Linked DNA regions of Arabidopsis thaliana. The protein of the gene in region 2 interacts with the protein of the main gene of each other region in a biochemical or structural test. Each region holds a gene or a part of one and is shown on either strand. Other genes may lie near its edges. The genes, in order: DCP1, XIK and AT1G08800.

What was found.
Region 1: the proteins of XIK (region 2) and DCP1 form a complex in vitro, tested with the Arabidopsis thaliana proteins (one study listed by BioGRID).
Region 3: the proteins of XIK (region 2) and AT1G08800 form a complex in vitro, tested with the Arabidopsis thaliana proteins (one study listed by BioGRID).

Annotation. Positions count from the first base shown.
Region 1 is NC_003070.9:2,635,514-2,642,107, reverse strand, and holds DCP1 (decapping 1), read right to left. Parts: upstream 4,072-6,594; 5' UTR 3,754-4,071; coding exon 3,595-3,753; intron 3,515-3,594; coding exon 3,474-3,514; intron 3,387-3,473; coding exon 3,337-3,386; intron 3,202-3,336; coding exon 3,057-3,201; intron 2,856-3,056; coding exon 2,799-2,855; intron 2,648-2,798; coding exon 2,533-2,647; intron 2,343-2,532; coding exon 1,863-2,342; intron 1,798-1,862; coding exon 1,741-1,797; 3' UTR 1,445-1,740; downstream 1-1,444. Other genes in the region: PSAO (photosystem I subunit O), read left to right, coding at 369-447, 544-616, 834-1,104; AT1G08360 (Ribosomal protein L1p/L10e family), read right to left, coding at 4,414-4,673, 4,856-5,021, 5,241-5,460, 5,873-5,877; AT1G08350 (Endomembrane protein 70 protein family), read left to right, coding at 6,503-6,594.
Region 2 is NC_003076.8:6,934,264-6,940,594, reverse strand, and holds the start of XIK (myosin family protein with Dil), read left to right. Parts: upstream 1-2,764; 5' UTR 2,765-3,214; coding exon 3,215-3,217; intron 3,218-4,030; exon of another isoform or gene 4,031-4,051; coding exon 4,052-4,180; intron 4,181-4,449; coding exon 4,450-4,593; intron 4,594-4,698; coding exon 4,699-4,844; intron 4,845-4,946; coding exon 4,947-5,103; intron 5,104-5,269; coding exon 5,270-5,328; intron 5,329-5,684; coding exon 5,685-5,844; intron 5,845-5,949; coding exon 5,950-6,099; intron 6,100-6,184; coding exon 6,185-6,321; intron 6,322-6,331. Other genes in the region: AL5 (alfin-like 5), read left to right, coding at 320-604; AT5G20500 (Glutaredoxin family protein), read right to left, coding at 930-1,006, 1,098-1,196, 1,344-1,417, 1,786-1,943. UniProt on the Arabidopsis thaliana protein: Myosin heavy chain that is required for the cell cycle-regulated transport of various organelles and proteins for their segregation.
Region 3 is NC_003070.9:2,811,571-2,820,637, reverse strand, and holds AT1G08800 (myosin-binding protein (Protein of unknown function, DUF593)), read left to right. Parts: upstream 1-2,566; 5' UTR 2,567-2,920; intron 2,921-2,998; exon of another isoform or gene 2,999-3,214; intron 3,215-3,479; 5' UTR 3,480-3,559; coding exon 3,560-5,720; intron 5,721-5,879; coding exon 5,880-7,060; 3' UTR 7,061-7,820; downstream 7,821-9,067. Other genes in the region: MYB60 (myb domain protein 60), read left to right, coding at 309-441, 539-668, 780-1,359; AT1G08790 (1-phosphatidylinositol-4,5-bisphosphate phosphodiesterase epsilon-1, putative (DUF1685)), read right to left, coding at 7,992-8,074, 8,160-8,649. UniProt on the Arabidopsis thaliana protein: Membrane-anchored myosin receptors that define a distinct, plant-specific transport vesicle compartment.

The DNA.
Region 1 (6,594 bases), on a different chromosome or scaffold from region 2:
TTTTGGCAGATATTGGGAGAGGGAATATTGTGTTTGAAAAAAAAAAAATGGAATTCATGGTGTTTTGGCTTTTTGACTAATTAAAATCATTAACATGCAAACTAAAAGATGTAAAAATCTTTATAAAATACAAACAAAAAAAATAAACAAATTTTGAGACAAAAAATAAATCTGGAATCAATCTTATCCAAGAAATAGACCCACAATATCAAAGAAAATAATGAGGTGTCACAAAGCTATTGATTGATAACACATCCTCGAAATCTCTCTCTTTGTCCACAGAATAAAAATCTATTTCTTGTGTTTGTGTTGTATTTACTTAAAAAAATAAAGGAGATCAGTTTGGGAGAAAGCAGCAAAGAAGAAAAATGGCAGCAACATTTGCAACACCATCGACGGTGATAGGCCTCGGAGGATCATCCATCACCACCAAACCCTTCTCTTCATGTACTCTTTTTCTCTCTTTCTCTTTTCGAATAATTTCAATCAAACATATATATGCATATGATAATCTTGATTTGTGATTTCTCGTATGTTTTTTAGCCTTTTTAAAACCAACATTAAGCGCCAAGAACCCTTTGAGACTCGCCGGTGCATCGGGAGGAAGAGTCACTTGGTAGGTTACTCTTTATTTTCTTCTCATAGTAATAACAAAGATATCACATTTTATGAAAATGCTTAAAACTCCAGAAGTATCACTAGTTATGTTACTTAAGATATAGGAATGAGTCCTAACTGATCTTAGGAACTTAATAAAGCTTGTTTTAATTTTGAGGTGCTTTTTAGGGTATTTTCTAATAAATTTATTTGTTTGTGTCAAAAATGAATTAAAGCTTTGAGAGGAACTGGTTGAGGAGAGATTTGAACGTGGTAGGATTTGGGCTGATCGGATGGCTAGCTCCGTCGAGCATTCCAGCGATAAATGGGAAGAGCCTGACGGGTCTCTTCTTCGATAGCATCGGAACTGAGCTCGCTCACTTCCCGACTCCTCCAGCTCTCACTTCACAGTTCTGGTTGTGGTTGGTTACGTGGCACTTAGGCCTCTTCCTCTGCCTCACTTTCGGACAAATCGGATTCAAGGGCAGGACTGAAGATTACTTCTAAGGATAACTATTCTTGTTTTCGTTTGTACTATATGCTCTCTCTTGGTTATGTGTAATATTATCAATCAAAACAAAGCTTTCTTTGCTATTTGATGTTTCATTCTATATCTCGACAAGTCTTTCTTATATGATCTTGATTTTAAGAATGTCTGTCAGTCTAACTAAAGTATTAAATGTTAAAAGCGTTTCTCGAGGGAAAGCTCACAAAAGATTGGGATAATACTTCAAAACGAAACATCACAATACGTCTTTGACTTGAACCATACAAACAGTTTTTGTCTTGCAATCTCGAATCTTTTAAAAAATAGAAAAATTATCTCTCTTTCTTCTTACTCTTTCATGTTTTTTGTATTAATCTTGATGTGTATATGTTCCAATAAACTCTAAACATGCATGAAGATTTGTGAATCTAAAGTCTTTAACATGTCTTTCGACTACGAAACAAAAATTGATGAGGAAAGGTAAAAACTTGAAAGTAGATAAAATGAAAAAGTAATTCCAAGAGTTAAACAAAGGGGGCAGTGCAGTATCTTATAAGGTTCCAACAACACTTTCAGAGGGAACAAAACTACATTTTAACTACACATTCTAGATCAAACAGCCACTATCCCACACGTAGATGCTGACCAGCGCAGCTTCATTGTTGAAGTGCATTTTGTAAAGTTCGGGTAATCTTGTCAATGAATTCATCCTCCTGTCAAAAGCAACTCGTTAGGTTTGCACAGCAGCTCAAATAAAGTGATGTGGTAAAGGACGAACCTGCAACAGGGATAAAAGGGCTTCCTTCACTTTGTCTCTGCTGATAACCGGACCAGTGGGTGCAGGAGCGAGTGATGGTGGTGGAGTTGGGGGTGGGAAAGGCTGGAGCACCGGAGTACCATATGACCGCTGCTGGTGACTCGCATTATTAGGATTGAGAGGAGGAGCAGTGGGCATAGATACACCAGGAATGAGGTGTGGCTGTGCCATCATTCGTGGGGGGCCAAAGAAAGACGGCGTCACCAAATCTGTGTGAATGTTGGAGTTGCTGCTGATAACTTCAGGGTTGTTGTCAAAGAGAGTCATCAGAGGAGAGGAGGATTGTAGAGGCGGTGGTGATTGTATCTGTGGAGGTGCTGCTGCCGCTACAGGAGGAGCAATGGTGGGTTGGTGAGGCTGGTGAGGTTGGTGAGGAATCGCTGATGATTGGTAAGGTCCACTTGCTGACCCACTCGCAGTGTTCCCAAGATTCATCGTTGACTGTCAACAATTTAGATAAATTCAGTGTTACAATTTGAGGAGTCTAAGTTGGACCATATACTACGCTGAAGATAATTCAAGAACCTAGAAGGCTAGAACTAATAGAAAGCCCTCCTGCCATTAGTCGTATAAGATGCTGTCATGGTGAAGATGATAGTGTGAGTGTGTAACAGAAGCTTTAGAAACTTACGCTAAAGAAGTTGACAAAAGCAGGATCATCAGGGGCATCCCTAGCAGTTGATGATGGTTCAAGAGGACCATCCATAACTGCCATTGTAGGCTTAGCTTCCAATTCCTCAAACTCACTGCAGTACATAGAAAATCTAACTTAATTTAACAAGTAAGAGATATAACAGCGGGAAAAATGATTTAGATTATCAAGTTTCCACCTCAAAGAAAACACATCCAAGAAACAACTAATGGTGTACTAACTAAATCTAATCATGAAAATATTACCTCTTTGAAGATGAGGCCTTTGGCTTCTGGTTAACCTTGGAATATGCACTGAGTATTCTGTCATGCCAAGGAACCATTAGGCAGAGATACAACGAGTAAGAGTAATTTCAAGTTCATACAAATATACAAGAACATTATATTTGCCAACAAGTAACTGTCTGATAATAGGCAAATAAAAGACGATATTGATATTATTCATGATCCAACAATTGAAACCAACAGTTTCTACCTGATATGCAGTGACTTATATATACATACCTGTTGAAAAGAGTTGCTACCTCCTCGCATTCACGTTTATTGTAGAACCAAATGCCATTTACTTCTTGAGATGCATTACGGTAAAGTAAATATGGACCTTGTACTTCATACTCAAAATCTCCCAGGAGATTCTCCACCAGATTATCTATCCAGACAAATACAGCAACACACTGATGATTACTAATACTGAATCCTTAAATAAGAACTTGCAATATATTACTAAATCTAAACCTTTTCTAGACACATGACACACACCAACTTTATTTGAATAAATCCTGACCTGTATTACGACGATTCATCACAATAAACTGAAATCGAGGTTGTGTACTTCTGAAAGAAACAAAAAAAAGGATCCAATCAGATTTGAGAAGACGATTAAAGATAAGATACACATAGTTAAAGATCGAAAGTAGTAACCTTTTGACAACAAACAAAGATCCTTCAACGTCCTTACGACTCTGAATGACAAAAGACAGATCAATCATTAGGTAGGGAAGCAAACATCAAATTATGTAATCGAAGATTGATTGAGACTAACCCATTGGCTGAGCTCAATGTTGAATTCATAGAAAGTGACATGAGCGGCTGTGATGAGGATTTCCTCGATGTATGGATCGATCCGCTGGAGAACTGTGAGATTGAGGAGCCTCGTACTGTTTTGGTCCAGATTTGGGATTATCTTCCCGTTTTGAGACATCTTTTATAAATCAAAGATCAGAATTTTGGGAAATCTGGATTCGATTTTACCCTAATCGGAAGAACCCTAGAATTCTGATTTAAGGTAGCTGAGAGATTTGGGGACGGAGACGAAAACGCTAACTTTTGGAACGCACTTCGCTATTTTGTTGTCTGCTTTGGCAAAAAAAAATGGTAATTTAGTTATAAAACTTAAGAGAATAAATATACTGACCATAAAAGCATTAGAGTTTGCTTCAAAAATACATCATTAGAGCTTGCTTAAGAGATTATAAACAACATTAAAGAAGAATATTTATTCAATTGGAGTATAATCAGTGGGTTGATCCTTTTAATTCAAAGATCAATTACTGCATAGTCAATAGAATTTGGTTATGGAACAGTCCACGAGGACAATTTTCAAATTGAAAACGAAAATTTCTGTTTTTATTCACATCTGTGGATTGATTCGTCTTTGAAATAAGCACATCTAATTCAAAGATAATATAAGCTACAAAATCCATTAACCAAAATCACTGCAGTTATTTCAAATTATCCAAACCAAAAGCTAAAGAGGAGAGTAGCAGCACAACTCTTACACTGTTTAACAGATATGTCTGAAACAAAAACGAAAGGGTAAGAAGAAGTGTCTTATAGCCACCAATTTTAAGTAGGTGAAAGCTCAGAAGATTCTTTGTGGTGGTCCCATTGTGCTCTTGAGGTACAAACACCTGACATTTTGCCAGTTCTTCTTCAATAGCGAGACGAGGAAGTTGACGCTCATCTGCACATTCTGAAAGATCTGCTTCTCTTCCATTGAAAGGTTACCAACTGCAACTCCCATGCACAGAACCTTCTTCAGCTGGAACTTCACTGTTGCCTTTGTTTCATTCACCTTTGACTCCAAGGATTCCTGGTGGCTCACAAGAGTTGGGAATTTTCCTGTGTAAAGTAAAGCAAAGGAATGTTACTTAAGAATCATCAAAGAAGCATAATCTCACAGGATAAAGGATTGGCATTGTATCAAAAAGACATTGACAAAAGAAATAGACTACTAAAACCTATCCAAAATCAAAACGGATGTAAAGAAGAACAATGGAATATTAGCTGTAGCCAGAACTTGCCTGCCTTGTTAAGACCAGGACCAAGAAGACGAGGAATCTGCTTAATGACAGACTCAGAGGCCAAGAAAGCATGGTATTTCTTTGCAAGCTTCTTGACGAGTTTCTTGTTCTTGTTAAGCTTTTTTAGAGACTCAACATCCATGTTTTCCAACCCCATCTTCTCAGCCTACGAAAAGATACAAGATGAAATAAGCAAATATTTAATTATGCAAGAAATGAAGCCTAAATAAACAATGACCAAATTCCGAAAACATCATGCATCTACATTCAGAAGACATATACAACATCAAATGAAACTAATAGAGCCACCAAATGAAATGAGCACAAAACCATTATACAAGAAACAGAGCACAAAATGATCAATTTCCATGAAAAGATATATCACCTCTTCAACATGCTGGGCATCTCCGAGCATGCAGATCTTCATTTTAGGACGGGGGATATGTGGTAACTTGACAGATCCACTGAAACGCTTGTCCTTTTGAGGGTCATAGTTCTTCAGACCGATCTGGAGCTCAATAGTCTCGACAAAGTTACGTTTCTTTGCCTCGGATTTCCCTGTGATAGTAGTGATGGCTTCACGAACGGCCTCACTCTGAAGCTTACTGTATTAACCCACAAAGAACAGAGTTAAGCAAATTAACTAAACAAACAAAAATACACAACATTGACAACCTCAACATGAACAACCCACATTATAGACACTACCATACAAAATAATCTTATCTTAATACACCTAAATTTTTATGAGGCAAGATTTAGATTTGTCATCCAAATTTAGAGGCCTTAGTAAAGAGCATTTATGCAAAACTGCAGAACAACTTCGTGTCAATCCTAGACTATTAACATCATAAAGCTATCAATAACGCACATCCAAAAAACAATCACGATTCAGAGACGTATTGTTCTCTAATTAAACTTATTGCATATGACAGAAGAACAATACGTCTCTGAATCACGATTCAGAGACGTATTGTTCTCTAATTAAACAGTGAATGTAAGAGATGCGTCAAGTACCTCATTTTGAGCTTGTCTCAATTTAGCTAAGATCTGATCCTGGAAACGAAACAAAGACAACAAAAAAAAGAATCAAAATCTATAGCAGAAGCTCGAGAAACAAGAATAATCTAATGTACAGTATACATATAAACGAAGAAGAAGAATCAAGCTAGAAGTGAAGCAGTCGTTGAGGCACAAACCTGAGTGACGAGACAGACAGAAGAAACCCTAAATTTCTCGAAAGGCGAAGCCTTTATAGTAAGGATAATGATCAAATAAACTAAACCTAAATGAAATTGGGCCTTTAGAGATAAGGAAAAGCCCAAACTGAAATCAAATGGGCAGCTGAAAACGTGAGACCAACAAAACCAAAAATTACTTGAGCGATCTAACATCCGACTACCGTCTTGGAGACTTTTCTGATGATGGTCTAGTCAAAACCACTCAGTTCGGCTTAAGCCATTCAGGTTTGACTTTGTGCCTCTACGACGTCGTCTTGTGACTTTGTGTTCTCTCTAGCTATGGAATTTTTTTCTTCTTGAGCTGTTGTTAGATTAAGATTTTAGAAGATGACTGCTTCTGGAGCTCTTCTTGTTGCACATATTGATTCGTTTCTTTTGGAACCCAGCAGAAGAAGAGTGCCAATTCATGGCGCAATTTCTGCTTACTGTACTACAAGTCCTACTTGCATTGACCTTCTGGATCGGAATCGGATCAGGCTCGTCGAACCATTATAATGC
Region 2 (6,331 bases):
CATCATATGCATTATAGATTGAGATCTTACACAGTTTGCTATTGAGTTCTAAAACATTAACTGAACACAATACTCTTACTTCCATAATCGTAGTTTGTGAATTGTGTGGCATAAGAAACCTCTTAAGTTTCAGGCAGCACAAAGATGTATCTTTAGTTGCAATCATCTAAGCGGCAGGTCTGGAATTACTGTATCAGTATGCAATGAAATGGCCAATTTATCACAAGCTTACCGCTCCAGTGACACTTGTTGATTACTTTTTATAGTTTACTCTCTGCTATTTTGGTGTAGTTAATACATTTCTTGATCTGGAATGCAGAGAGGTTTAGAAAGTAAAAGTTCAAAGACGATACATGCCAAGGATGAGGAAGAAGGATTAGAGTTAGAAGAAGGGGAAGAGGAAGAGGATGAGGATGAAGACGAACACGGTGAAACCCTATGTGGAGCATGTGGAGATAACTATGCTTCTGATGAATTCTGGATTTGCTGTGACATGTGCGAGAAATGGTTCCACGGGGAGTGTGTGAAGATCACTCCAGCTAGAGCGGAGCATATCAAGCATTACAAGTGCCCTACTTGCAGCAACAAAAGAGCACGACCCTAGATGTTTTATTTCCACTAATCTTAGCTACTATCTATTTTGTTTTATTTCCACTAGTCTTAGCTACTCTCTATTTATCCCCCAAACAGTACAATGCACTTAAAGTTTGTGTGTTGTTCAGATAAGTTATTTGTAGCATGTCCAGATTTGATTCCTCAACCCAATTTGTATAACTCAGAATGTGGTCTTTGATAAGATACGTTTAAAAGGCAAGATCAAGCTGTCACAAGGTCATGATCAAGCTGCAGAACACAATACAAATGGAAATTGAATTGCTTACACCTAAGCATCACAGAGAGTGTTATCAATTCTTCCAACTATATATAACCTAGAGTTCAGCTTCTTTGTTCCCGGAAACACCAAGAAGCTTGGCGAGTTCACCGCTCTCATACGCATCTACGGTATCTATAACCAGAAACAAAGATAAATCTATCGATCAGCAAATGTTGGCATAAGCAAAGACGTTTTGTTGAAGGAAAAGGAGTGTTAAGTATACCATCTGATCCTCCGAGATGTTTTCCGTTAATGAAGACTTGCGGTACTGTTCGCCTTCCAACAATCTCTCCAAGTGCAGTCTGGATGCTCCAACCATCTTCTGCAAGACCAAATTTTTACCAACCATTAGTCACAAATGAATCTTCTACATAGTGATCGGACAAAGTTTCAAATGACAGAAATGTCTGAGAGCTAAGAAACATTGTTGGATGATGAAGACATGATTCCCTTTAACCTTAAAACACACCTCTTTCATCAAGCTCGACAACATAAGGAACTTGATCCAGCTCTCTGAACACTGATTTAGCTTTCTTGCAGTAGCTGTTGACCAAACCACAAGGAAGCAAAGGAAAAGTAGAGATGAGTCATATACATAGGTACATGATCTCTCTACACAACTCAATTAAGGCCAAAGGAAAAGCAAAGAGAACAAATACTGAGAACTGAACCTGAATATATCTTAAACGAAAATCCATATTGATTTCAACCACCATTTGTAAACAGAGATAACAAAGTTGTCTCATAAAAATCCAAATCTAACGAATACAAGTTCATTGGGTTCAAGTTTTCACTCATATTTCAGATATTAAGATCTAAAAAACAAAATCGCAAATTGAAGTCACCCAAGATCCAATTTTTCTGCGAATCGGATAAAAAGTGATTAAACATGAGCAGAGAAAGAGACATACGGGCAGTAGGATTTGGAGAAAATGACGATCTTATGGGAAGAGATAGTCTTCTTAACAAAGTCGGCTTCTGGGGACGAAGCAGCAGAAGAAACCATAGAAATGAATGTAACTAGTGCGACGAGCAGCATTACCATGGAGATAGATCTAAACATTGTCATGGCTCCTTTCTTCTTCTTCTTCTTCTTCAGATGCCAATTGAAGACGATGACTTGCAGGATCGATACTGTGGAAAGTAGGTGTAGGTGTGTTGTGGCGGGTACGGTTTAACCCGGCCCATCTAAATAAGGGTCGTATTAAAGCCCAAAATCAAGGTTATTGTTTCAGCCCAACCACTATTACATAAATTGGGTGAACTTAACAAAAACAATTATTTTTTACTGGGCTTCAAAAACATAGAACATTTTTGGAGTATAAAGGATGATAATGATAATGACATGACCAAAGCTGGTATTAGACGTCTTAACACTATCTTGCGGGTTCAATTTGATTTCCGCTAAACTAAGAAAATCATACATCATCCCAAAACCTAAAATTAATATTTGTGTCACATCAATTTTGAATATATGAGTCAAATCATTTGTAAACATTCTTCACAAGTTATATCCTATATTTTTTATAAAAGAGAATTTCAAAAACAGAAACGCTCGTAAGAATTTTAAAATATTTCCACATCTAACCAATCCACTAACGAAGACAAATTAGCCATAATTTACTAGTCTTAATTAAAACAAAAAAGGGGATAAAAGTGTAAAAATGAGCAATTCAAAGGGCAGAGACAAAAACAAAAGATGTAGTAATGTTTTTTTTATTTACGAAACAATCTTTGTTGTTGTCTGTGTGTAGACTCAAAGAGTGTTGTGGGTGGCTGACCACGAATGTGAATGTCCAACTCGATCCACCTCCCTTCTCCTCATTGGACCCCACTTGACCAATCTCAATTCTCAAGCACCAACATTTTTTTTGTTTGAAAACAATACACAAATAATAATTAAGAAAAAAAAGTGTTAGAGAGAGAAAGACACACAGCTCAAAAGAGAACATTGTTGTTGCTCGAGGAGAGAGAAAAACAAAAAAAAAAGCCATTAGAGAACGTCGTCTGCAAAGAAAGAAGAAGGCCAAGTCTAGCTTTCTTTCATTCTGCTTCTTCAACAATCAATCAGCTTTCTTGAGAGAGATTAAAAAATTCATTCAGATTCAGCTTTTTGAAAAGAATTTTGGCTCCGTTAATTCCGATCTCCCGATTTCTCCGTGTCTGCTTTGAGCTGACTTCAAGGAGAATTTTTCTCAGACACACCAACTCGAGAGAATCTGCCCGATCTGACTCGTCTTGTTGCCTGACTCGCTGAGTCAGCTTTCTGCAAAATCGGTCTCTCTTGGATGAGTTAACTGGGAAAAAGAGAGAGGATCTATTGGAAAAAAAGGAGTAGCCATGGTAAAATCATAGATATCATCATCCTCGTCGTTTTATTCAATTGCTTATTGTATTTTCTCAAATGGGTTTATGTTGGATTTAAATCAATTAAACGGATTCATTTTTAACACTTGTCCGATTTGGTGTTCGTTAGTAGAGATATCTTTGTATGAGGTTTGCGTTTTGTTTTCGATCCCTAGTTCGTCTTCCCATTAACACGAGAGATTCTCAATCCAACTATAGTAGAAAAGTTGAATTTTGTTATTTTGGGGAACATTATACAGTGTTATTGAAAGGTAAGGGTCAAGAGTTCTATAACAAGTTGAAGTTGGACCATTTCAGTTATCTTAAATTTCATTTCGTGGACTTATCATTTCCTATTAACATTTCACTTAGCGGCTCTCACCATTTTGGATTACTTCTATTATTAGTAACGAGGTTATGTAAGCTTCTATGTTAGATTACTGTCCCTTTATATATATGTTTCATCAGGAAACTTCTTCAGGTGAGACCATTTTTTTTTTATATACCTAAGTTTTATTTGATATAAAGGCTGAAGATTTAGTTTCCAGAATGAAGGAAACTGAGGGAAATGCGCAGTGTTATGCTATCTTTGTTGTGTTTCTAAGTGAGTGTTGTCTCTAGATTATAGGCAGTGTTATTGTCCTGGTTTTGCGGGAAATTTTAATCTATAACATTAGTTACTTTCGGTTTAGGTTCGTATGTCTGGTGCCATCTATTTCAACTGCTTGAACTGATGATATTTGGTATTTGAAAGAGGAACTTATGTAACAGCTTGTGTGAGGTTATTAAAATCTTTGTACCTCACGTCTTCAATATTTGTATCTTTTGTAGGTTGGCCCAGTCAATATAATAGTTGGTTCTCATGTTTGGATTGAAGATCCTGGAGCGGCATGGATTGATGGTGAAGTTGTCAAAATTAATGGCGAAGAAGTTCATGCACATACCACAAATGGGAAGACCGTAAGTTGTCTATCCTCCTCCCATGCTTTTGCATGTAAATTTCCTTTTGAGAAATAATGTCACTGGAATGAATAGGGTGTTTCTGCTTAGGGTGTCTGTTTAACTTTGAACAAAATGTCACTAGTCCTCTAACCCCTTTCCCTGTGGATACCGTGTTACTCCTCTAACATATGAGTTTTGCATGACATTGACATCCCTATTTCATAATTATATTATACAATCATTGAAACCAGATTATGTATCAATCAATCAATCAAATTTAATTTCAGGTTGTGGCCAATATCGCAAACGTATTTCCAAAGGATACAGAGGCTCCCCCTGGGGGTGTTGATGACATGACAAAGCTCTCATATTTACATGAACCAGGTGTTTTGAATAACTTGGCCATGAGATATGAGTTGAACGAAATTTATGTAAGTTGTTATTCATTTTCTGCACTGATTACTTATGAAATCACTTACTGAGTTCCTAAGCAGTAGAAAACATTCCTAAATATTTCCGTTAAAATATGTTCGCAGACATATACTGGTAACATCTTGATTGCTGTAAATCCGTTTCAAAGGTTACCACATCTCTATGATACTCATATGATGGAGCAGTACAAAGGAGCAGGCTTTGGGGAACTAAGCCCCCATGTGTTTGCCATTGCAGAAGTTGCTTACAGGTTATTAATCCCAATCAATGATCCACTAGCAGAAATTCTCGTAGTCACTCTTTATTCATACATTTCTCATGCTAGTCTATTCTCTTTTGCTTCTCTGGGTAGGGCAATGATAAATGAGGGCAAGAGCAACTCAATTCTGGTAAGTGGGGAAAGTGGTGCTGGTAAGACTGAGACAACAAAGATGCTTATGCGCTACCTTGCTTACCTTGGTGGTCGATCCGGCGTTGAAGGAAGGACAGTGGAACAGCAAGTTCTGGAGGTGAGGCTTCAAAAAAATATGTTTCTTTTATCTTGGCTTTGAAGCTTGTCATGGAGAAGAGTCTAAGCCTTTACACAGATACTTTTAGTTACTGCATTGATATGTTTATAGAGAGGCTTGTAATGCTAGCCTGATTCACTATTTTGGTTTTATTGATGGTATACAGTCAAATCCAGTTCTTGAAGCTTTTGGCAACGCTAAAACTCTCAGGAATAACAACTCCAGGTACGTATGCGTATGTTCACTTAGAGGTTTTCCTTTGGATCTTTCTCTTGAAAAGTTGTCATTAGTTGCACAGTCAAAGTTGTTTTTGGCTCAAAGCTTCCTCAGTCACCACTTGTCACAATTTTGTTTTCTAACTATATAACAAACCCCAAGGCATCAACTGCACTGATGGTACATAAGAAAAATTAATCACATATAAACTATGCTAATCTCTTGGCCTTTTTTATCGGTAAAGTTAGAGAGTAATCAACTCAATAGTAATACTTTTGTACGTGATTGATTATTGTACTATAGAGTTATTTTAAGCTTCAAGGCAGATATCCTCATTGTAACTTTTATTTTCAATCAAAATGCAGTCGATTTGGAAAGTTTGTCGAGCTTCAGTTTGACAACTGTGGGAGAATATCTGGAGCAGCTGTGCGAACATATTTGTTGGAAAGGTCTCGAGTGTGTCAAATATCAGATCCTGAAAGAAATTACCACTGCTTTTACCTTTTATGTGCTGCCCCACCTGAGGTATTGGTGCTACACAATGATGCCAATATACCTTATTGTTAGGCGTTCTGCTTTAAATCACATGATTAAGTGGTTGTGGATTTCATTTATTTTCCCAATCTGTAGGAAAGAGAAAAGTTCAAGTTGGGAGATCCTAAGTTATTCCACTACCTAAATCAATCGAAGTGCTATAAACTGGATGGAGTGGATGACACCGAGGAGTATCTTGCTACCCGACGAGCTATGGATATTGTTGGCATCAGTGAAGAGGAACAGGTCAGTCTTCCATTTACTCCTTTTCCAACAAGAAATGATTTCTCTGGTAGAGCATCTTATTGACCATTCTGATAATTGCTATCAGGATGCAATATTTAGAGTTGTTGCTGCAATCCTTCATCTAGGTAATGTCAATTTTGCAAAAGGAAAAGAGATTGACTCCTCAGTTTTGAAGGATGAGAAATCAAGATATCATCTTGATGTATGTGCTGAACTTCTTAGGTATGTGCAA
Region 3 (9,067 bases), on a different chromosome or scaffold from region 2:
TAAATAAATAATCCAGTAACGTTTTCTTAAGGGAGATATACATATTCGTGTGGAGATCAACATATCTTCGTTAATTGACTACGCAAAATAGTTAATGGAAAAGGCAGAGTGACTCGTGAGCTTGGCAGATCCAAAAGAGGTTGTCAAGAAAAAGCAGATTTAAAAGTTCTTCCCTCTTCTTTAAGTCACCCATTAATTTCACATATATGTACATACATGTTGCATTTAACTCATATACATACATATTCTCACATCTATAAAGAGAGCATAAGACTCAGAGAGATCTAGAGGAAGAGAGAGAGAGAAAGATGGGTAGGCCTCCATGCTGTGACAAGATAGGGATCAAGAAAGGACCATGGACTCCTGAAGAAGATATCATTCTTGTTTCTTACATTCAAGAACATGGTCCTGGAAACTGGAGATCAGTTCCCACCAACACTGGTCATTATCTTTTCTCAACATGTTTTCTTCTAGTGTCTTTCTTTTCTTTGTTTGTATATGTGTCCTGATGTTTGTATCTTAATTTGGCTTTTAAAAGGGTTATTGAGATGCAGCAAAAGTTGTAGACTGAGATGGACAAATTATCTGAGACCTGGAATTAAACGTGGAAACTTTACTCCTCATGAAGAAGGAATGATCATTCACTTGCAAGCCTTATTGGGTAACAAGTAATCTCAGACAAAAGGATCTACATCTCTTTATACTTGAATGTTTTGTGTATATATTTTGATGATGTGAACCCTAAACTGGCTTATTTGTTTACATATGGTTGTGGTAAGATGGGCGTCCATAGCTTCATACCTACCACAAAGAACGGACAATGATATCAAGAACTACTGGAACACACATTTAAAGAAGAAGCTCAACAAGTCTGACAGTGATGAGAGGAGCAGATCAGAGAACATTGCGCTGCAAACTTCTTCGACAAGAAACACCATTAATCATAGATCTACCTATGCTTCAAGCACCGAAAACATTTCCCGCCTTCTTGAGGGTTGGATGAGAGCGTCTCCAAAGAGTAGTACAAGTACTACTTTCTTGGAACACAAAATGCAGAACCGGACAAACAATTTCATCGATCATCACAGCGATCAGTTTCCATACGAGCAGCTTCAAGGTTCTTGGGAAGAGGGTCATAGCAAAGGAATCAACGGGGATGATGACCAGGGTATAAAGAATTCAGAGAATAACAACGGTGATGATGTTCATCATGAAGATGGTGATCATGAGGATGATGATGATCATAATGCTACACCACCATTGACATTTATTGAGAAATGGCTTTTGGAGGAAACAAGTACTACTGGGGGTCAAATGGAAGAGATGAGCCACTTGATGGAGCTCTCTAATATGCTTTAATTGTGACATTTTCTCCTTTATTTTTTCTTTATCCTTGTGAATCTTATAAATGAGACTACTAATTTTATATACACAAATAAAGAAACCAGAAAGACATAATATCATGTGTTGTTTTTTGGTTTCTCTAAGATATAAGTAGCTAAAATGCTCACTGCATAAGTTGTAACTAATCTAAAGTTGTCTACCCATTTACATGAATAAAATCCAATTTAAGACTTGTAATACTATTCAAATTTCTTTTACAAATACATGATATCTATACTTCATCTTTAGAATCTACCAAGTCGAATCTACAAATTCAGGAAAATATCAATTCAAAGCTAATATGCATTAAACCCTCATGCTTAAGAATGGTGTAGGTCTAAGAGAGTTTTTGCTCGCAAATCACATCAATTCGAGAAACGTTAATGGGATGCGTTAATATATTTGGGAACTCGTGTTGCCTTTTAGTCCATAAAAACAAGATGAATGAGAGAAGTATTAAAAGCTTTATTCATACACAAAAATGTGTGATCTTTATATTTTAAGAAATGAGAAACAATAATGAATGGAGAAATGTAGGACCTCCATAACTAATTAAGGATTGATAAGTGTAAATGAAAGAGATGAAGCCAAACGTAACGATCACTTGAAAATGGCGTTAATATAATAAATATACACATTATCCTTGTTCCGTTTATCATTCTTCATGCAAAGTTATTAAATACATCCATGGCCCTTAATTATGACGTTTGAGCTCTTGGTAATGTAAGCAGTGGACAACCAAATAAAGCTATTGTTTACGGTTCCTAATCTAAATAATAATTAACAATCAAATGCAAGTCAAATATGAGCAACAAGAGAAGATGGAAGCACACAACACAGCCAAAACTTTTGGTGGGTTCTACTATTTTTTTCCGTCCAAAAAGGCAAAAACAGATACAAAAATTGAATACAAATCAAAAACAGTTAATTAAAAACTCAAATCTGATTATATTCATTCAACTACTCTAATAAAAAAAATATAATTTTTGTATTTTATTTTATTTTTCTTTTTGAAATAAAAAAAATAGTTCCCACACTCAAATTGCAACTTTCGGCAGCCGTTTTTGTAATCAGTAGCCGACTTTCCTGTCTCTCTCCACATCTCACCATCTTAGTTTTCAATCTTTTGCCTAACATTTTATAATTATTCGGAAAGGAAAATAAAACTAAGTGATTTAATTGTGAAGACTAATAATTATAAAATGTTATTTAAGGACTAGTAGTACCAATATTAAGACTTTTTTTTAAGTCTGTTATGTTAATCTTTTTGTTTTCCCTGGTTTGGTCAATAAAATAGATCTCTCTCATTCAATGTCTCTCACAAAGAATTTTATTAATTTTAAAATTAAGTGATTTTAGTTGTGAAGACTACGTGCAGTCCTTGCTGGGTCTGCCTTTTGAGTTTTTTAAAAATATATAAATGGGATCAATGTTCTCTGTGAAGCTCTCCCTCAAAAATCACAACTTTGCTAGATTTTGGATTTTCACTTTCTACTCTGTAATTGAGACTTACTCTGGCGATCATCATGATCAAAAGGTTAGATTTTTCTATAACAGCGCTTATATTTAGTTGGATCATATAAAATATTGTGGGTCTTGATCGTATGATTGATCCATTTAGTATTTCTTCTACACACAATTCTAATTCTGATTTTGTTGAGCTGTCAATTGTTCTTTTTAGATCTCTTTTCCTTTTTGTGGCAAACTTTTGATTTAGAGTGGTTTAAAATCTTTGTTGGAATTTATTTTTGCTTCAATTGCTGACTTGAGATAAATATTTGATCTTCCTGTACTCTGGAGATAAACACTATTAAGAAGGCTAAATAAAAACGTAAGCTTTATCTTGTTTTGGTCAACTTTTCTGTTCTTGCTTCTGTTTGTCCCAAATCTGCAAATATCATTTGTAAATCGGATTGGATTCTGGATATTAGTTGTCTTTTCTGCACGAATCAAGTTTGTTTCATTATCTCAAATCTCTTTATCAACTTTAGTCTCATTATATTTTCTGAGTAGAATCTTGATGTTATTGATTCAATATTTTTCTCATATTTTTGTACTCTTTACTAATTGTTTGATGTGTATCTACATTGATGCAGATTTGAAGCCTGATTGATTCTTGATCTTATGTTTCTGCAAAGAGTTGGCTACTAGACAAACGTCTGCAGTAAAATTACAGATGGGTTCACGGAGTTTCACTAGAGCTTTGGCATTAGCCTTTAATGAGTGGCTACTGATGTTCATGCTCTTCGTTAACTCCATATTCTCTTACGTGATCGCGAGGTTTGCAGATTACTCTGAGCTTCAATCTCCATGTCTGATGTGCTCAAATCTTGATCATATTCTCAGGAGGACAAAAGATTTGAAGAAAACTCATTGGGATATTATTTGCTCTAAACACAAATCAGAGATCTCTTCATTGGTTTACTGTCATGCTCACGGCAAGCTTGTTGATGTCCGTGGAATGTGTGAGACTTGTCTTTTCTCGTTTGCTACAACCAATAAGTCCAATGCTGAAACTTACAGATTGTTGGTTGGTAAACTGGGTGAAGATTCTCACTTCGGATCCAAGAGTGATCGAAGCAAATATCCAAATTGCTCTAAGCTTACAGATTGTACATGTTGTAATCAGTTGTGGACGCCTCAAACCGCTGCTACTCAGGTGGCTGAACGGGAAATTCTACCCAAGATTGGTTTGCTTGGTAAAATAAGAACCGGGAAGCAGTCTGCGCCCAAGAAAAGTGTCAGCTTCAATCATTTGCCTGATGTTGGGTACACTGAGCTAAAGATTCATTCAGATACTGAATCAGAGGCTGTGTTTTCAGATACTGAACCAAAGCAAGAATCTTCACTTAACCATTTGCCACCTGTTGGGTACAATGAGCCCAAGATTGGTTTGGTTGGTGATGTGAGAACCGGGAAACCATCTACACCCAAGAAGAGTGTCAGCTTTAATCATTTGCCTGATGTTGGGTACACTGAGCTCAAGATTCATTCAGATACTGAATCAGAAGCTGTATTCTCAGAAGATGAATGTGTCGTCCTTAAAGATGAGGATCATAAGTATCAAATAGTGGATCTTCAGACTCATCCGATTATCACCTTGCCTTATGATTTGGCTACCGACAAGCTGCTAAACTTTGATTTCCCTTTGGAGCCCTTCGTGACTCGAAATGACCGAGAGGAAGTTCAGTTGCAAGAGACCAATTGGAGGACTTATTCCTCATTTCCTGTGCTTATTCCAGTTAATGATGTGCCTGAAACATCAGAGAAGGTGTTCAAGGAGGAAGAGATCAATTCATTAGATAATCTTTTCTTAACATCACGCGCCATGAAACATTTTGCAGCTGCAAAGGTGAAAGAAGAGCCGATTCGCCTCCAAGATATTTCCTCAACACCAGATGTTAAGGAAAATCCTGCAAATGCCTCCTTGATGGAGGAGACTGAGCTTATTTGTCTCAGTGATGTTACTGCAACATCAGGCGCCATGGAACATTCTGAAGTTATTCTAAAGGAAAGAGAAGAACTGATTCACCTCCAAGATATTTCTGTAACACCAGATTTTAAGGAAAATCCTGCAAATGCCTCCTTATTGGAGGAGACTGAGCTTATCTGTCTCAATGATGTTACTTCACCATTACGCGCCGTGGAACATTCTGCAGTTCTTTTAAAGGATAAAGTAGAGCCGATTCGCCTCCAAGATGGTGGTTCTTTAACACCAGATTTTATGGAAAATTCTGCAAATGCCTCCATATTGGAAGAGACTGAGCTTATTTGCGTCAATGATGTTACTTCAACATCACGCACCATGGGACATTCTTCAGTTGTTTTAAAGGAGAATGAAGAGCCGATTCGCTTCCAAGATAGTTCTTTAACACCAGATTTTAAGGAAAATCCTGCAAGTACCTTCTTAGTGGAGGAGACTGAGCTTATCTGCCTCAATGATGTTACTTCACCATCACGCGCCATGGAACATTCCACAGTTTTTATAGAGGAGAAAGAAGAGCTGGTTCGCCACCAAAATATTACATTAACACAGGATTTTATGGAAAATCCGGCAAATTCCTCCTTAAGGGAAGAAACTGAGCTTATTTGCCTCAATGATGTTACTTCAACATCAGAGGTTGCTGAAACTCCTGAAGATGTCTTAGAGGGAATTGAACTTATGTCAATCCATGATATATCTCTAGACGAGGTTTCTGAATCAGTCACTACAAATCAAACCTCTGTTGAGATTTCAAAGGAGAGGGACACTGACCAAGCTGATATTACCTCTCTGGAATCTGAATATATAGTTGTACCATCTCCAAATTCCATGCCTGAAAATTCAACCGATAATTGTAAGTTTAAACTTCCATTTAAATGCAAGACTCTTATGTGTTTTCTTCTCCAGCTTTGCATGTATGATGGCTATGAACTGTAAATTAAAGATATATAGTGCTTAAATTATACACTAGTAGGTATGGGTTTCTGATAAAGAAAATGAATTTTCATATCAGGTGTATCAGATAAAAAGGAAATGAAAGAGACATCTCTTAGGATCTCTTCATTGTCTGAAATGGCTCCACGGGACGTCACTTCTCACACAGAAGCAGCTCTTGAGTCAGAATCTTCTTCCTTCAACTCAATGTCAGTGGCAGCAGAAACAAACCAATATTCAGGTGAATTACTGGATCTTGCAGATGCATACAATATCGTTGTAGGAAACGAAGGTCACTATGATAGTAATGGAAGACAACAAATAGAGAATTGGATGAAGAAAGATACGTCTAGAGTTAGCGAAGACCTTAAAGCACTTCTTACTCAAATATCAGCTTCTCGTGGGATAGAGTTTTTGTCACCTAGAGATGTAAGCCCCAAGATTTCTGTTAACAGTAGCGATCAAGAGACAAAGAACCTAGATCATGATATGCAGCTGCTACTTCAAAAGAGAATGCTTGAAAGGAACGAGAGTAACTTATCGTTGGAAGGAGTTTCTGTGACTGAAATCGAGGGTGAAAGTGAGGGTGATCGGTTGAAAAGACAGGTTGATTATGATAGGAAACTGCTGACTGGTTTATATAAAGAATTGGAGGAAGAAAGAAGCGCTTCAGCGGTTGCTACAAATCAAGCAATGGCTATGATAACGAGGTTGCAGGAAGAGAAGGCGTCATTCCAAATGGAGGCTTTGCAGAACCTGAGGATGATGGAGGAGCAAGCAGAGTACGATATGGAAGCAATACAGAGACTGAATGATTTACTTGTTGAGAGAGAAAAACTAATACAAGATTTAGAAGCTGAGATTGAATACTTCCGGGACCAGACCCCTCAGAAGAAGAATAAGCTAGATGTTGCAGAAAAAGTGACCGAGATGGATTCCCCTAGTGAGGGAATGAGCAACAAGATACAGAGTTGTTTAGTTGGGTTCGACGAAGAGAGATTATACATCACCAGTTGTCTGGAGAAGATTGAAAACAGAGTAAATGGCAAGGCTCATGACGATAATCTACCAGCACAAGAATCTGTTTCTGAGCTACATGAGAGAGTAGAAAGGCTGAAGGGAGACTTATACTTCCTAGAACAAGTTATGAATTCTCTTGGCCATGGAAATGAAGGCGTGCAATTTGTAAAGGAAATAGCTTCTCATTTGCAAACTCTGCGGAGTCTCAGCATGAAAAGACAAGATCAGACTGAGTGTTGATGTCCTGAGTAACAATCTTCACAAAGGTATGTTCTTTCCTCTTCCCTGATTGTTGTGTTGATTTTGTTCTTCAGATAACTTCACCTGCGGAAATTATAGCTCTTTGTACAAACATCTTATTATTCATATGTCGTTCTGGTTTTTTAATATGTTAGACACCTTTGTGGAGAGGATATTGTAGAGGAAACTAAAAGAAGTTCAAGATTCAAGAAGCTTAAAGAAACTGTATAGCATCGTCTTCATTGCCTTCCCCTTTCGTATACGATAATCTCAGAATTCTTTACGATTTCATTTTTGGGTTTGGTGTTCATAATTTCCTTATGGGTTTTCATATTCTTTGTGTTTATTTTGCATTTTTCTTCTAGTTTTGAGTGAAGAGTGAATGTAGGTTTTGTTCTGAAGTTCTCATTTGATTTTTTTTATTAGGTTGGTTGATACTTTTGTTTAGCATGTCAAAAGTCATGCAACTTTGTTAAACTTGTTGTACATTTCTTCGTTATAAACTACTTATACGTAATGTCCTTTGTTAAACTCATATTTCTTTGTTGGTGTTAGGACCTCGAATTTGGAAAATAACAAGAAGGTTGATACGCATAATACAAACTTACAAAAGACAATTAAAAGAGGAAGAGAAGCCAAAACCTAATATCTAAAATATTTTCTTACTGTTAAAGTAGTGATATCTAAAAAATTAAAAACTGTCTTTGGCGAAAAAAAAAAGGGTTCAAGAATAATAACATGTAAGACCACCATGCATCATTCTTATTTCTTCTTTTAGTTTGAACTTCAATAATCCGTCCTCCTCTGTCTTAACCAACTCCTTAATTAATCTGTCTTAAGCTTCCTTAATTTCTACAACACTTCCTTTGTCTCAACCAAATTTGTGTAGTATCATTCATGTCCCACTCTTGTACATCTCTCACTTCTATGCTTAATTGGAAGATTGTATCACAGAACATGCCACAGCTTGTGCCCAATGCCTCAGTCTCGTTTTAACCTGTTGAGGATCATCTCCTGCAAATTTATAGAATATAACATCAAAACACAATCATATTATGAAAATATCAATCTGACGAAAAAGTTTAGGTTGCTATGTTACCTGGAGACATAACCTTCAAAGAATCAGAGTCGCTTATTGGACTACCAAAAGAGGAAGATCGGTCTCCGAGGGAAGTAGGACGGGAGGATGAAGAAGATCCACCACTGCCTGGTGTAGAAACCGGCGAGATCTGACGAGTCACAGCGAAGTAAAGGTCCAATGCAGGCAATGTAGTTGTAAGATGTTGCCCTTGCTCCTCGTTAAACCCGAACCCTAACTCAATAGATCCTTTGAGCTCACTCAAGTCCTCGTCCGTCAAGTCATCTCCTCCTTCGTTATGCTTCTCAAGGTGATGGAGCATCTGGCGACGGCGACGCTCCCATGCGATGTCTCTACGGGTCTCTAACATGGAGAGTTGCTTCGAGAGACGTTTCTTAGCCTTAGCTTTCGGTGGTTCCAATGGCATCTTTTGAAGCTCTTCTACTTCGCTGTCGTAGAAAGATGACGACGATGAGGTTGATACACTCAATGCTTCTCCAACCCTCACCATCTTTCTCTGTTGTTAATATAAGAAATCGCAGGCACGTTTATGATTATCAACAAGGGGCAGAATATTTTTGTGATGATGTGCCTTGTTGTACAAGTTAGCTCATGTAAGCGAGGAAAAACAGAAGAACTTGAATAGATTAGTGAAAATCCCAGAACTCTGATTCCCTTTAAAAAATGTTCATCCCGGAAGAAGAAAAGGGGTAAGAAGTTTTTTCTGTTTGGTTTATTTTATTAATGTACAGAAGGAGATATGTTTTCTGGTGAACTTTAATGGTGTGATATTACAAAACACAGAAACAATGAGTTTCTTCTACCACACATTTGGTGTTGTTTAAAAGTAGGGTTTGTAGAATTTCCATTTGCCATTTTTAAAGGGATCTCTCTGTTAATTCCCTGGGGAGATTCTGGAGCTTGATTGA